3 linked regions of the Arabidopsis thaliana genome follow. The protein of the gene in region 1 interacts with the protein of each later gene in a pairwise test. Each region holds a gene or a part of one and is shown in the gene's direction. Other genes may lie near its edges.

Evidence for each region. The genes of interacting proteins can lie anywhere in the genome.
Region 2: the proteins of TCP11 (region 1) and NIMIN-3 interact in binary tests that used the Arabidopsis thaliana proteins (3 or more experiments, as listed by UniProt).
Region 3: the proteins of TCP11 (region 1) and IAA10 interact in binary tests that used the Arabidopsis thaliana proteins (3 or more experiments, as listed by UniProt).

What each region holds. Positions count from the first base shown.
Region 1 is NC_003076.8:2,678,696-2,682,518, forward strand, and holds TCP11 (TCP family transcription factor), read left to right. Parts: upstream 1-1,705; 5' UTR 1,706-2,132; coding exon 2,133-2,852; 3' UTR 2,853-3,298; downstream 3,299-3,823. UniProt on the Arabidopsis thaliana protein: Transcription factor involved in the regulation of the circadian clock. Acts as a repressor of CCA1 by binding to its promoter. No binding to the LHY promoter.
Region 2 is NC_003070.9:3,037,191-3,039,983, reverse strand, and holds NIMIN-3 (NIM1-interacting 3), read left to right. Parts: upstream 1-1,575; 5' UTR 1,576-1,735; coding exon 1,736-2,074; 3' UTR 2,075-2,230; downstream 2,231-2,793. Other genes in the region: G6PD4 (glucose-6-phosphate dehydrogenase 4), read left to right, coding at 1-60, 160-194, 314-470, 541-737, 813-1,013, 1,107-1,344; AT1G09410 (pentatricopeptide (PPR) repeat-containing protein), read right to left, coding at 2,424-2,793.
Region 3 is NC_003070.9:1,057,738-1,061,772, forward strand, and holds IAA10 (indoleacetic acid-induced protein 10), read left to right. Parts: upstream 1-1,732; 5' UTR 1,733-1,992; coding exon of another isoform or gene 1,993-2,071; coding exon 2,072-2,343; intron 2,344-2,545; coding exon of another isoform or gene 2,546-2,586; coding exon 2,587-2,897; intron 2,898-2,994; coding exon 2,995-3,127; intron 3,128-3,219; coding exon 3,220-3,289; 3' UTR 3,290-3,472; downstream 3,473-4,035. Other genes in the region: AT1G04090 (vacuolar sorting-associated protein (DUF946)), read left to right, coding at 1-1,510; SDD1 (Subtilase family protein), read right to left, coding at 3,720-4,035. UniProt on the Arabidopsis thaliana protein: Aux/IAA proteins are short-lived transcriptional factors that function as repressors of early auxin response genes at low auxin concentrations.

The sequences.
Region 1 (3,823 bases):
GTATATCGTTTGATAAAAATCAAGTCACTAGAGAATTTTGAGTTATACCAAAGTCAGAATCGTTCACAGTTCACATGATTAGTAATTTAGTATCAAACAAATACCAAATACAACAAACTACAAAGCGAGTTGGTCTCTGAACGTCTTTTAGTCACGCTAGTCAAATAGATGGCAGAAGATAAAGCGATCCTCTCAGTTTAAAAAAACGAGATGACGTGGATTATTCTGATTGGTGGAGTAAGCTAAGAAAATCTAGAGAGGCATCGCCAAATGAGAAAACTAGAAAAGAAGATATTTGTATGAAACACGAGTTGATTCTCTTTTGACAGAAGTGTCACTTTCTTGTATTTTCGTCCACCAACCCCCATACTAATAATTCTATACAAATTCCCATTAATAAATAAAGGCAGATGAGAATGGGCTCCAGCTGTTTAACACATTTGACAATTGTCAAATGATTCGTACACATATTACTATTTTAAAATAAAATAAAAAGATTAGAATATACTATAAGCATTTTTGGTAAATTGGTGATCATTAAAAATTTCTATGCATTTATCCAGCTAACCCCACAACTAATCATTCAAATCCCAGTTAATCACTCAATATAACTTTTAACATGCGCCGGTCATTAATAATTGTCAATTGTATCATACAATTTGTATGTAAGCTTTTGTGGCAACGTTTTCTTTTAAGAACTAGCTAGTTCAATTGAATCCTAGCAAGTAGCTACGAAATGTGACTAAAATTTCTCTACGAGTCTCTAGTTTGGTGGTTCCTCAGCTGTGCGTCGTAGTTTCAAGTTTTTACTATCTATCATACTTTAAGCATGCACAAAAATATTCTTTTCATCGCTTTTGATAGCACCTTCACGTATTATATCGACAACTTTAAGAAGTTGGCTTGGGTATAGTTTTTAAAAAAAGGCATTTAAACATCACTCATGGTTGTATCGTATGGGTACGGCAATCATCATAACAATTATTTCTGTTAAAGGATTTCACAATCATATAACAAATATTAAGACGATAATATAGTATAATGTGCATTATATATTCATCATGAAAGAAATTATTGTCGCGAAACAATTTAAAAAATCTCGACGCAACGACATATCAAAATCGGCATATCTGCCAGGTGGGCACGGCTACTTTTATTATGCCACGCTCCAAATGGAATGATTTGTTTTATTATTGCTTAATGGGTAATAAGAATTTTGATTATACAAATTGCACACACGAACGCATATCGTGTGGGGGTCACAGTGGTTGGGTTATACTCAGATTAGTAACCTGTGTCATAAAGCGCGTAATTGTCATTTCTTTTATTTGAGCTATTTATTTATCCTAGAAGTTAAATAAAAAATAAAAAATAAGAGACAATCACAAATTAGTAGATGTGAAATTATAAATGACTAAAAATAAATAAATTAAAATCGTACAAAATAGAATCGTAATCAGTGTAGGTGTAAAGTATACTCACCAATCAATTACCACCATTGATTGTCTCTTATTCCTCATCTTTTCAACTATTGTGGAAACTGGAAACAGCTTTTGTCTTAATTGCAATCTAATTTCCCTACATCCTATAAAATGCATTAAACTCATGAGGTAAACGTGTATGATTACTGTGGTTACAAAGCATAAAACATATACTACTTCATTCTAAAACAAATTTTATCGATAAGAAATAAAGGTAAAAATCAGCATTGTTGTGGTTACATGTCACAGAAGTAATAAGAATTAGTAAAAACCAAAATCGAATTCATATTATTCTTGTAACGCTACTTATTTTCTACGAATCCTAATTACTCGTAAATTAGCTAATGTAATTCAAGCAACCATATAAATGGGGACCCCAACTAACTCCTAAACCTAAAAACTTAAATTCTCCTGCCCGACCGTGGTCCAACGCTATAGTCAACACCGGAGTCAAGCGCGTGAGCTTCAACCGCGTCCGGACAAATTAAAAAAACCTAGCAGAAGTGAGCTGTGTGGGACCCCACCAGCCATGTGCTCTCCTTCCTGTCTCCACCAGCCTAGCTTCCTCTCAAATCATTACCTCCTTCTTCTTCTTCTTCTTCTTCTTCTCCTCGAGAGAGAGTTAGATAGTGATAACGAAATCCTAATTCCATGGCCGACAACGACGGAGCAGTGAGTAACGGCATCATAGTCGAGCAGACGTCAAACAAAGGACCTCTTAACGCCGTTAAGAAACCACCGTCTAAAGATCGACACAGCAAAGTTGACGGAAGAGGAAGAAGGATTCGTATGCCAATCATTTGCGCAGCTCGAGTTTTTCAATTGACCAGAGAGTTAGGTCACAAGTCCGATGGTCAAACCATAGAGTGGCTTCTCCGTCAAGCTGAGCCTTCTATCATAGCCGCCACTGGAACTGGCACTACTCCGGCGAGTTTCTCCACTGCTTCTCTCTCCACTTCTTCTCCGTTTACTCTCGGGAAACGTGTCGTCAGAGCGGAGGAAGGAGAATCCGGCGGCGGAGGAGGAGGAGGGTTAACAGTGGGACACACAATGGGGACTTCGTTAATGGGTGGTGGTGGTTCTGGTGGGTTTTGGGCTGTTCCGGCGAGGCCGGATTTCGGACAAGTCTGGAGCTTTGCAACCGGAGCTCCACCGGAAATGGTTTTTGCGCAGCAGCAGCAACCAGCTACACTCTTCGTCCGCCACCAGCAGCAACAGCAAGCTTCCGCCGCCGCAGCAGCTGCAATGGGTGAGGCTTCAGCAGCTAGAGTTGGGAATTATCTTCCGGGTCATCATCTCAATTTGCTTGCTTCTTTGTCTGGTGGAGCTAACGGGTCGGGTCGGAGGGAAGACGACCACGAACCACGTTGAGAAATGGTATTGTCTTTTTGGTAATGTATAGAAAAATTCCTATGTTTTATGTCATCGAAAGTGTTTAGAAAGTACCTCTAATTTGCGGTTTCTTTTGCTCCTTTTTTACTTAATTTAAGCTTATTGCTTGTTTGATTAGGGTTTTAGGGTTTAAGAATATTTGGTCTCGTTAATTTGTTTCGGAGAGTGATAGAAAGAGAGAGAGATTGATTGATTGTTGTACCTAAAACGCTATAAAAGCTCTGTTTTTACTAGCGAAACAGAGAAGTCGTTTAACTAGTGATCATTGCCATTCAATCAAGTCTCTTTAGAAAACTAAAGAAACAGCAAAAGAAACAAATTTGAAGTTGTCCCGTTAGTTTTAAGCATGAATTCTATTATGGTTCGTTCGTTAATGAAGTTGTCCCACTATTTACTCTTTCGTAGTAAAGGAAACAAATTTGAACTCGGGTTAACGGAGCCGGTCCGGATGATAATTCAGGTTCCACCAAAAACTTTTAAAACTAATAACAAGCCCATCCACTATCCAGAGCAGTATAATCGTAAGCTTCAAACACAAAAGAAATACTTCAATTTAACTCATCGTTATCAGTTATAACCGGAACAAACCGATAGGGGACCATTGGATCAAACCGTCTCGAACCGGTAACCCTAAAATAGTCTGGTTCTTGAAATTTCGGTGATCCTGCAACGTTTCTTCTCATCGATTTTGACCGGAAGCTCCTTGATTCAAACAAGACTTTTCTTATCGGGGAAGATCAGACGGAACAGAAGAGATCTCTGTGTTTACAAAAGTAATTCCTTGATTATAGCAAGCAAAGAATAAAGGGTAAAGGTGTAGACTTTGCTTCTCTCCTTCAAAGTCCACGCGATTCTCACTGTCAGCCTCTGCGAAATTTCCAGTCTTTCTCGCATTTTCCCTCGTAGCAGCCGTCAATTTCAACTGGGTATGTCTTAGATCTTCGTAGCGT
Region 2 (2,793 bases), on another chromosome or scaffold:
AGGTTTTCAAATCTAGTTTTTGAACCACTATGGAACAGAACATACATACGCAATATACAGGTAGTGTTTCCTTCTGATTGTTTGTAGTTGTGTATAGTGCCTGAACTTTCCTCTTCCACATTCTGGTTTGTTCACTTTGTGTATAAATGATGTTTCCAGGTTATTATATCAGAATCAATTGCGCAAACAGAAAAGTAAGGCACAATAGTTCTATTTTCACCATTTCTTTGCATGTGAGAGTAAATTGTGTTGTTTCAGCATTCTTAGACAAATCAGTAATGTTATTTTCTAATTTCCTACTGCTTTTTTTAAGGTTTTCTGATGGATATGGAATAATACGGGACATAGTGCACAGCCATATACTTCAGACAATCGCATTACTTGCCATGGAACCTCCGATAAGTCTCGATGGTGAAGATATCCGAAATGAAAAGGTCAACCTGTACTGTAAAGAACAAAATCGTCTTATGGTATATATGTAAGTTGTGTACTCTTGTTCTGTCAAGTGACTTGGTGACAAACCTGCTTCTGCAGGTGAAGGTTTTAAGATCAATTCGCAAGATAGACCCGCGTGATGTCATCCTTGGCCAGTATAAATCCAGTTCCCGAGACAAGAACGGTGTGATCTTGAACGGTGTAGACCCTACATATTGTGCAGCAGCCTTGTATATTGATAATGCACGTTGGGATGGTGTACCTTTCCTTGTAAGAGTTGGCACTGGCCTCATTAAACACAGGTAAGAATAATTATTCCTACTCATAGACATATCCAACTGTCATAACAATTGATTGGTGTGCCTTAATGTTGAAAGAGTGGAGATTCATGTGCAATTCCGGCATGTTCCTGGAAACCTATACCGAGAAAATATTGGAATAAACATAGATTTGGGGACAAATGAGCTTATTCTACGTGACGAACCTGATGAGGCCATCCTGGTGAAAATCAACAACAAGGTTCCTGGTTTAGGTCTTCAGCTAGACGCTTCTGAACTTAACTTGCTCTATAAAGACAGGCAAGTTTTGCATTCTCATCTTTGTTCCTACACATTTTAAAAATCGAACTTTTGCGCCTTATGGTTGGTTGAATTGTTGGATCAAACCTGTAGGTATAAAACCGAAGTACCAGACTCATATGAACACCTAATTCATGATGTAATTGACGGAGACAATCATCTGTTCATGAGAAGCGATGAGGTTGCAGCAGCATGGAACATTCTTAGTCCGGTTCTAGAAGAGATAGACAAGCATCACACAGCTCCGGAGTTGTATGAATTTGGTGGACGAGGACCAGTTGCGGCATACTATCTTTGGGCCAAGCACGGTGTCCCATGGGCAGATGACTGAAGAAGAAACATAGATGCAGCAACAAACAAATGAGAGTGATTCTGAATGGTTATTGTGAAGTGTGTTTGTTTAGCTTGAAGCTGTGCCATTCCCTGTAGACTGTACATATGTACACATGTATGTCATGTTGCTATATGAATGTCCATCATGGTGGGGTCCATAATAGTGTTGAAAAGTCTCCAAAGCCACCCAAAGGAAAGAAGAAAGTCTGAGAGACTTTTAGATAAGGTCATGTTGTTAGTCTTCCCACTAGAGGCAATAATTATATCTTCTCCACCAATTCCTCCAGAAAATTCTTCCAGATGTATCATGTGTTGATGATCAAAGTAGGATGAAAATGATGTAACTAAAGAGAAACATTTTCATAGGGGAAGGAAGAGAGAGCGGTTCAATGGACAGAGACAGAAAGAGGGTGAAAATGGAGAAGGAAGATGACGAAGAAGAAAAGATGGAGAAGTTGTACACAGTGCTTAAAAACGCAAGGGAAATGCGGAAATATGTCAACAGCTCCATGGAGAAGAAGAGACAGGAAGAAGAAGAAAGAGCAAGGGTTCGTAGATTCCCTTCGTTTCAGCCAGAAGATTTCATTTTCATGAATAAAGCAGAGGCCAACAACATTGAAAAAGCAGCTAATGAGAGCTCTTCAGCATCCAACGAGTATGATGGCTCTAAGGAAAAGCAAGAAGGATCTGAGACTAACGTTTGTTTAGACTTGAATCTTTCTCTGTAGCATACATACATACAAGAGACAAAGAGCTCTTCAGTTTCTGTATAAGCAACAAAGAATGTTAGTAACTACGTACCAAAAACAAATGTGTCATGGAATTCTAGTTTTGCTTGAAGATTGTTCATCACTTCTTATTAACCATATTGAAGAAAATGCTACAAATGCACATTGATAACAAGATCAGTAAAAAAATATATATATATTAGCAGAAGAACTTAGAGAGAACTCTCATCAATGGCTGAGCAAGTTCCTATGGTTTGCGAGAATTACTCCATTTTGCCAACGCTCCAACGAGGATTGATAGCTAAGCCTAAGATTAAAAAAAAACATTCTGCTTGGCATTTATTGAATCTCACCAGTAATCTTTACAGGAACACTCTCCGTTTCTGAAGTGATGGAATCTGTTTGCATCTCTTAGAATGATCTCCCTCTCTTTCACCTTAGAGATTATTTTTATTGCTGTGTGGCAATCACTACAAACTCTAAGGTTCTTCATGACTCGGATGGGTATTCCTTCAGATAGCTTTAAAAGAGCATAAGCTACCGCTAGTCTCTCGCTATGATATTTCAGGCTATTGACTTTCTCTTCCTCGTCTACATCGTGCAATGCATAGCTGCAATCAGGATTATACCCGGCTTCTCTCAATAACCCATCCAATTCATCCAGTATCTTCAAAATAGATTCCTGCTCGGGATGGCTATTAATACCCCCACGAGTGAAT
Region 3 (4,035 bases), on another chromosome or scaffold:
GAACATTTCATTTTACAAACCAAAGGGATTGTTACCTAAAGACTTCCATTGCTTAGGTCACTACTGTCAGTCTGATTCTCATCCTTTGAGAGGTTATGTACTTGCGGCAAGAGATTTAGTGGATTCATTAGAACAGGTAGAGAAACCTGCATTAGTGGAACCTGTTGATTTTACTCTTGTCTGGAGCTCAAATGATTCAGCAGAAAATGAATGTAGTAGTAAGAGCGAATGCGGTTACTTCTGGTTACCGCAGCCTCCTGAAGGGTATAGATCGATCGGTTTTGTGGTTACAAAGACTTCCGTGAAACCTGAGTTGAATGAAGTTAGATGTGTTAGAGCTGATCTTACTGATATATGTGAACCCCACAATGTCATTGTCACTGCTGTTTCAGAATCTTTAGGTGTTCCTTTGTTTATATGGAGAACTCGGCCTTCAGACCGAGGAATGTGGGGCAAAGGTGTCTCTGCAGGTACTTTCTTCTGCAGAACTCGGCTTGTTGCTGCTAGAGAAGATCTTGGTATCGGTATTGCTTGTCTAAAGAATCTAGATTTGAGTTTACATGCGATGCCAAATGTTGATCAGATTCAAGCTTTGATTCAACACTATGGTCCTACACTAGTCTTCCATCCTGGTGAAACTTACTTACCTTCTTCTGTTTCGTGGTTCTTCAAAAATGGTGCAGTTCTCTGCGAAAAGGGAAATCCAATCGAGGAACCTATCGATGAAAATGGTTCGAATTTGCCTCAAGGAGGAAGCAATGACAAGCAGTTTTGGATTGATTTGCCGTGTGATGATCAACAAAGAGATTTCGTCAAGCGAGGAAACCTTGAAAGCTCGAAACTTTACATTCATATTAAGCCTGCTCTTGGAGGAACGTTCACGGATCTTGTCTTCTGGATCTTCTGTCCATTTAACGGACCAGCAACCTTAAAACTAGGACTCGTCGATATCTCATTGATCAGTATTGGCCAACACGTCTGCGATTGGGAACATTTCACTCTCCGAATCAGCAATTTCTCTGGTGAGCTTTACTCAATCTACTTGTCTCAACACAGTGGCGGCGAGTGGATCGAAGCATACGACCTTGAAATCATTCCCGGAAGCAACAAAGCCGTTGTTTACTCTTCAAAACATGGTCACGCAAGCTTTCCTAGGGCTGGGACTTACTTACAGGGATCGACAATGCTTGGGATTGGGATAAGAAATGACACTGCGCGTAGTGAACTCTTGGTAGATTCGAGCTCACGGTACGAGATCATTGCAGCGGAGTATCTCAGCGGAAACAGTGTGTTGGCAGAACCGCCGTGGTTGCAGTACATGAGAGAATGGGGACCAAAGGTTGTGTACGATTCAAGAGAGGAGATAGAGAGATTGGTGAATCGATTTCCGAGGACGGTTAGGGTTTCGCTTGCCACAGTGCTTAGAAAACTTCCGGTGGAATTATCCGGCGAGGAAGGTCCTACAGGACCAAAGGAGAAGAACAATTGGTATGGCGATGAAAGATGTTGAAATTCTCACTGTTGGGAAACAGATGTGGTGAGATTACCATCGGAGCCCTAACTGTGTAACTTGTAAAGGAAGATGAAGCTTTGATTGCGCAAGAGATTAATTACACAATTAGCGTAGGATTAACGTAAAACTTGTCGTTAGAAGTGTATACAAGTGGGTCCCATCATGTATTTAATTAAAATAATAAAGTTATATAGACGAACAAACCTCCACCAAACGCAACGCACACATTCGTGTACCGTTTCCGATTTTTCGTTCCTCCAATTTCATTCTCTCTCTCTTTAAGAAAAATTCCTTGTTTTTGATCCGAGAATCGAAGTCGCCCTCGAATCAAGATTAAAACCTCGTTTAGTTCTCAATTTCAGTTCTGTGGATCCGTGCGTGACCTCAAGTTTTTTTTTTTTTTCTGTCTCGAAATTCAGAATCGTAGAGGTGTTGAAAGTTGAAACCTTTTTTTTGGTTTGCTTGGTTAATGGGTTTCTTCAAACTTGATCGATAATTGGATTTGAATCAAGGGTTTTAGTGTTCTTGCTTTGTGTATTCGTTTGGCAATTTGGGATAATGAATGGTTTGCAAGAAGTTTGTTCGTCAAGTGGGTCGGTGATGATCGGACTACCAGCTGAAGAAGACGAAAACGCCGCACATTCGTCGGAGGATTCATCTTGCCCCGACGAGTCAGTGTCAGAGACAGAGCTCGACCTAGCTTTGGGTCTTAGCATTGGTCGTCGGAAGGTTCGATCGTCTTTGTCTTCCTCGTCTTCTTCTCTGACCAGGGAAAGTGGGACCAAACGCTCTGCTGATTCTTCTCCGGCTGCCGCCTCAAACGCAACCAGGTAAAAAATTCATCTTCGAGACTTTATATTATAACCTATATGAATGATTGGTCTCAGATTGCTTATTGTTACAGAATCAAAGCAACTTAGAGGATAGAGCTTTTAGACCTTAAACTTTGAGAATGAATGAATCACAGGATTGAATCAAATAGAGTGTTCCCTGAAATGTTTAGTTAAACTTTTGAATCATATTGGTTTATACTTGTTCGTCTTTTGATTTAATATCTTTTGGTAATGGAGCAGACAAGTTGCTGTAGGTTGGCCGCCTCTACGGACTTACAGAATCAACAGTTTGGTCAATCAAGCAAAGTCTTTAGCTACGGAAGGCGGCTTGAGTTCTGGCATTCAAAAGGAGACTACAAAAAGTGTAGTGGTTGCTGCTAAGAACGATGATGCTTGCTTTATCAAATCGTCCAGGACTTCTATGCTTGTGAAGGTGACAATGGACGGAGTTATAATTGGAAGGAAGGTTGATCTCAATGCTCTGGATTCTTATGCAGCCTTAGAGAAAACTTTGGATCTAATGTTTTTCCAGATTCCTTCTCCTGTAACAAGTCAGTTACTAATTCTGTTTCATGAGATTCCATGTGATTCTGTTTTTCAAATTCTGTGTCTCTTGAAATTGACTGGTTTTGATTGATCGATTTGTAGGATCCAACACACAAGGATACAAGACAATTAAGGAAACATGTACTTCGAAATTACTGGATGGCTCATCGGAATATATCATAACATATCAAGATAAAGACGGAGATTGGATGCTTGTAGGAGATGTTCCTTGGCAGTAAGTGACTACCCTTATAACTTCCCATTCATCATCTGTATTTGTAATGTGGCACATCCATTTCAATGAAAACGATCTTTTCATCTTCTCAGGATGTTCCTCGGGTCTGTGACAAGACTGAGAATCATGAAGACATCAATTGGAGCTGGAGTAGGTAAGTAGAGAGTCCTATATAGCAAAAACAGTTTACATCTCTTTGGTCTGTAACTCATATATCACATTCACATATATACATGTGCATATGTTTATACATGAGTGTACATATGTCTTGTGGTCGTTTGTGAATATCAAACAACAGCTTAACCTTGTCTTTAAAGATCTTTGTATATTTAGGGTTTTTCACTCTATTGGTGCCTGATCCAATATACCACTATAACAACAAAGGCATGCATCTGGATTAGGGTTTAGTGATGAAATCAAGCTACAGTAATATGATAGAATCACCAGTAGTTTCATTCCCTGGAAAATGAAATACAGCTCTTGTGCGTACAATAACAACAATCAATCAGCTTCACGAGGTTTTCTTAGCATAAAAACCTAATAAACCTAACACAGTCTTGAAACAGAATGAAAAACGTTTTCCTTCATTGGCTCAGTTAGTCTTCAAGGTTACAGAGATTGGACTTCTAACTCGCTGCATCAGATTATGAGAGTTGACCCAAGTCAACTGCCCTTGTGCAAAGCTAGCCACCTTCCCTCCTCTGTTTTTCTTCTTCAATACAAACCATACTCTATAGCTCAGCGTCTGATCCACGTGTTTGAACACAAGTCTCTTAGGATTGACAATAACTTTGATCCCCTCTGGAGCCTTGACATTCACTGAGTATATCGAGTTAGGACTCCCAACGTTAGTGACACGCCTTGTGATCATCTCCGTAGTCTTGCCACGTTTGAAAATCACGGCTATC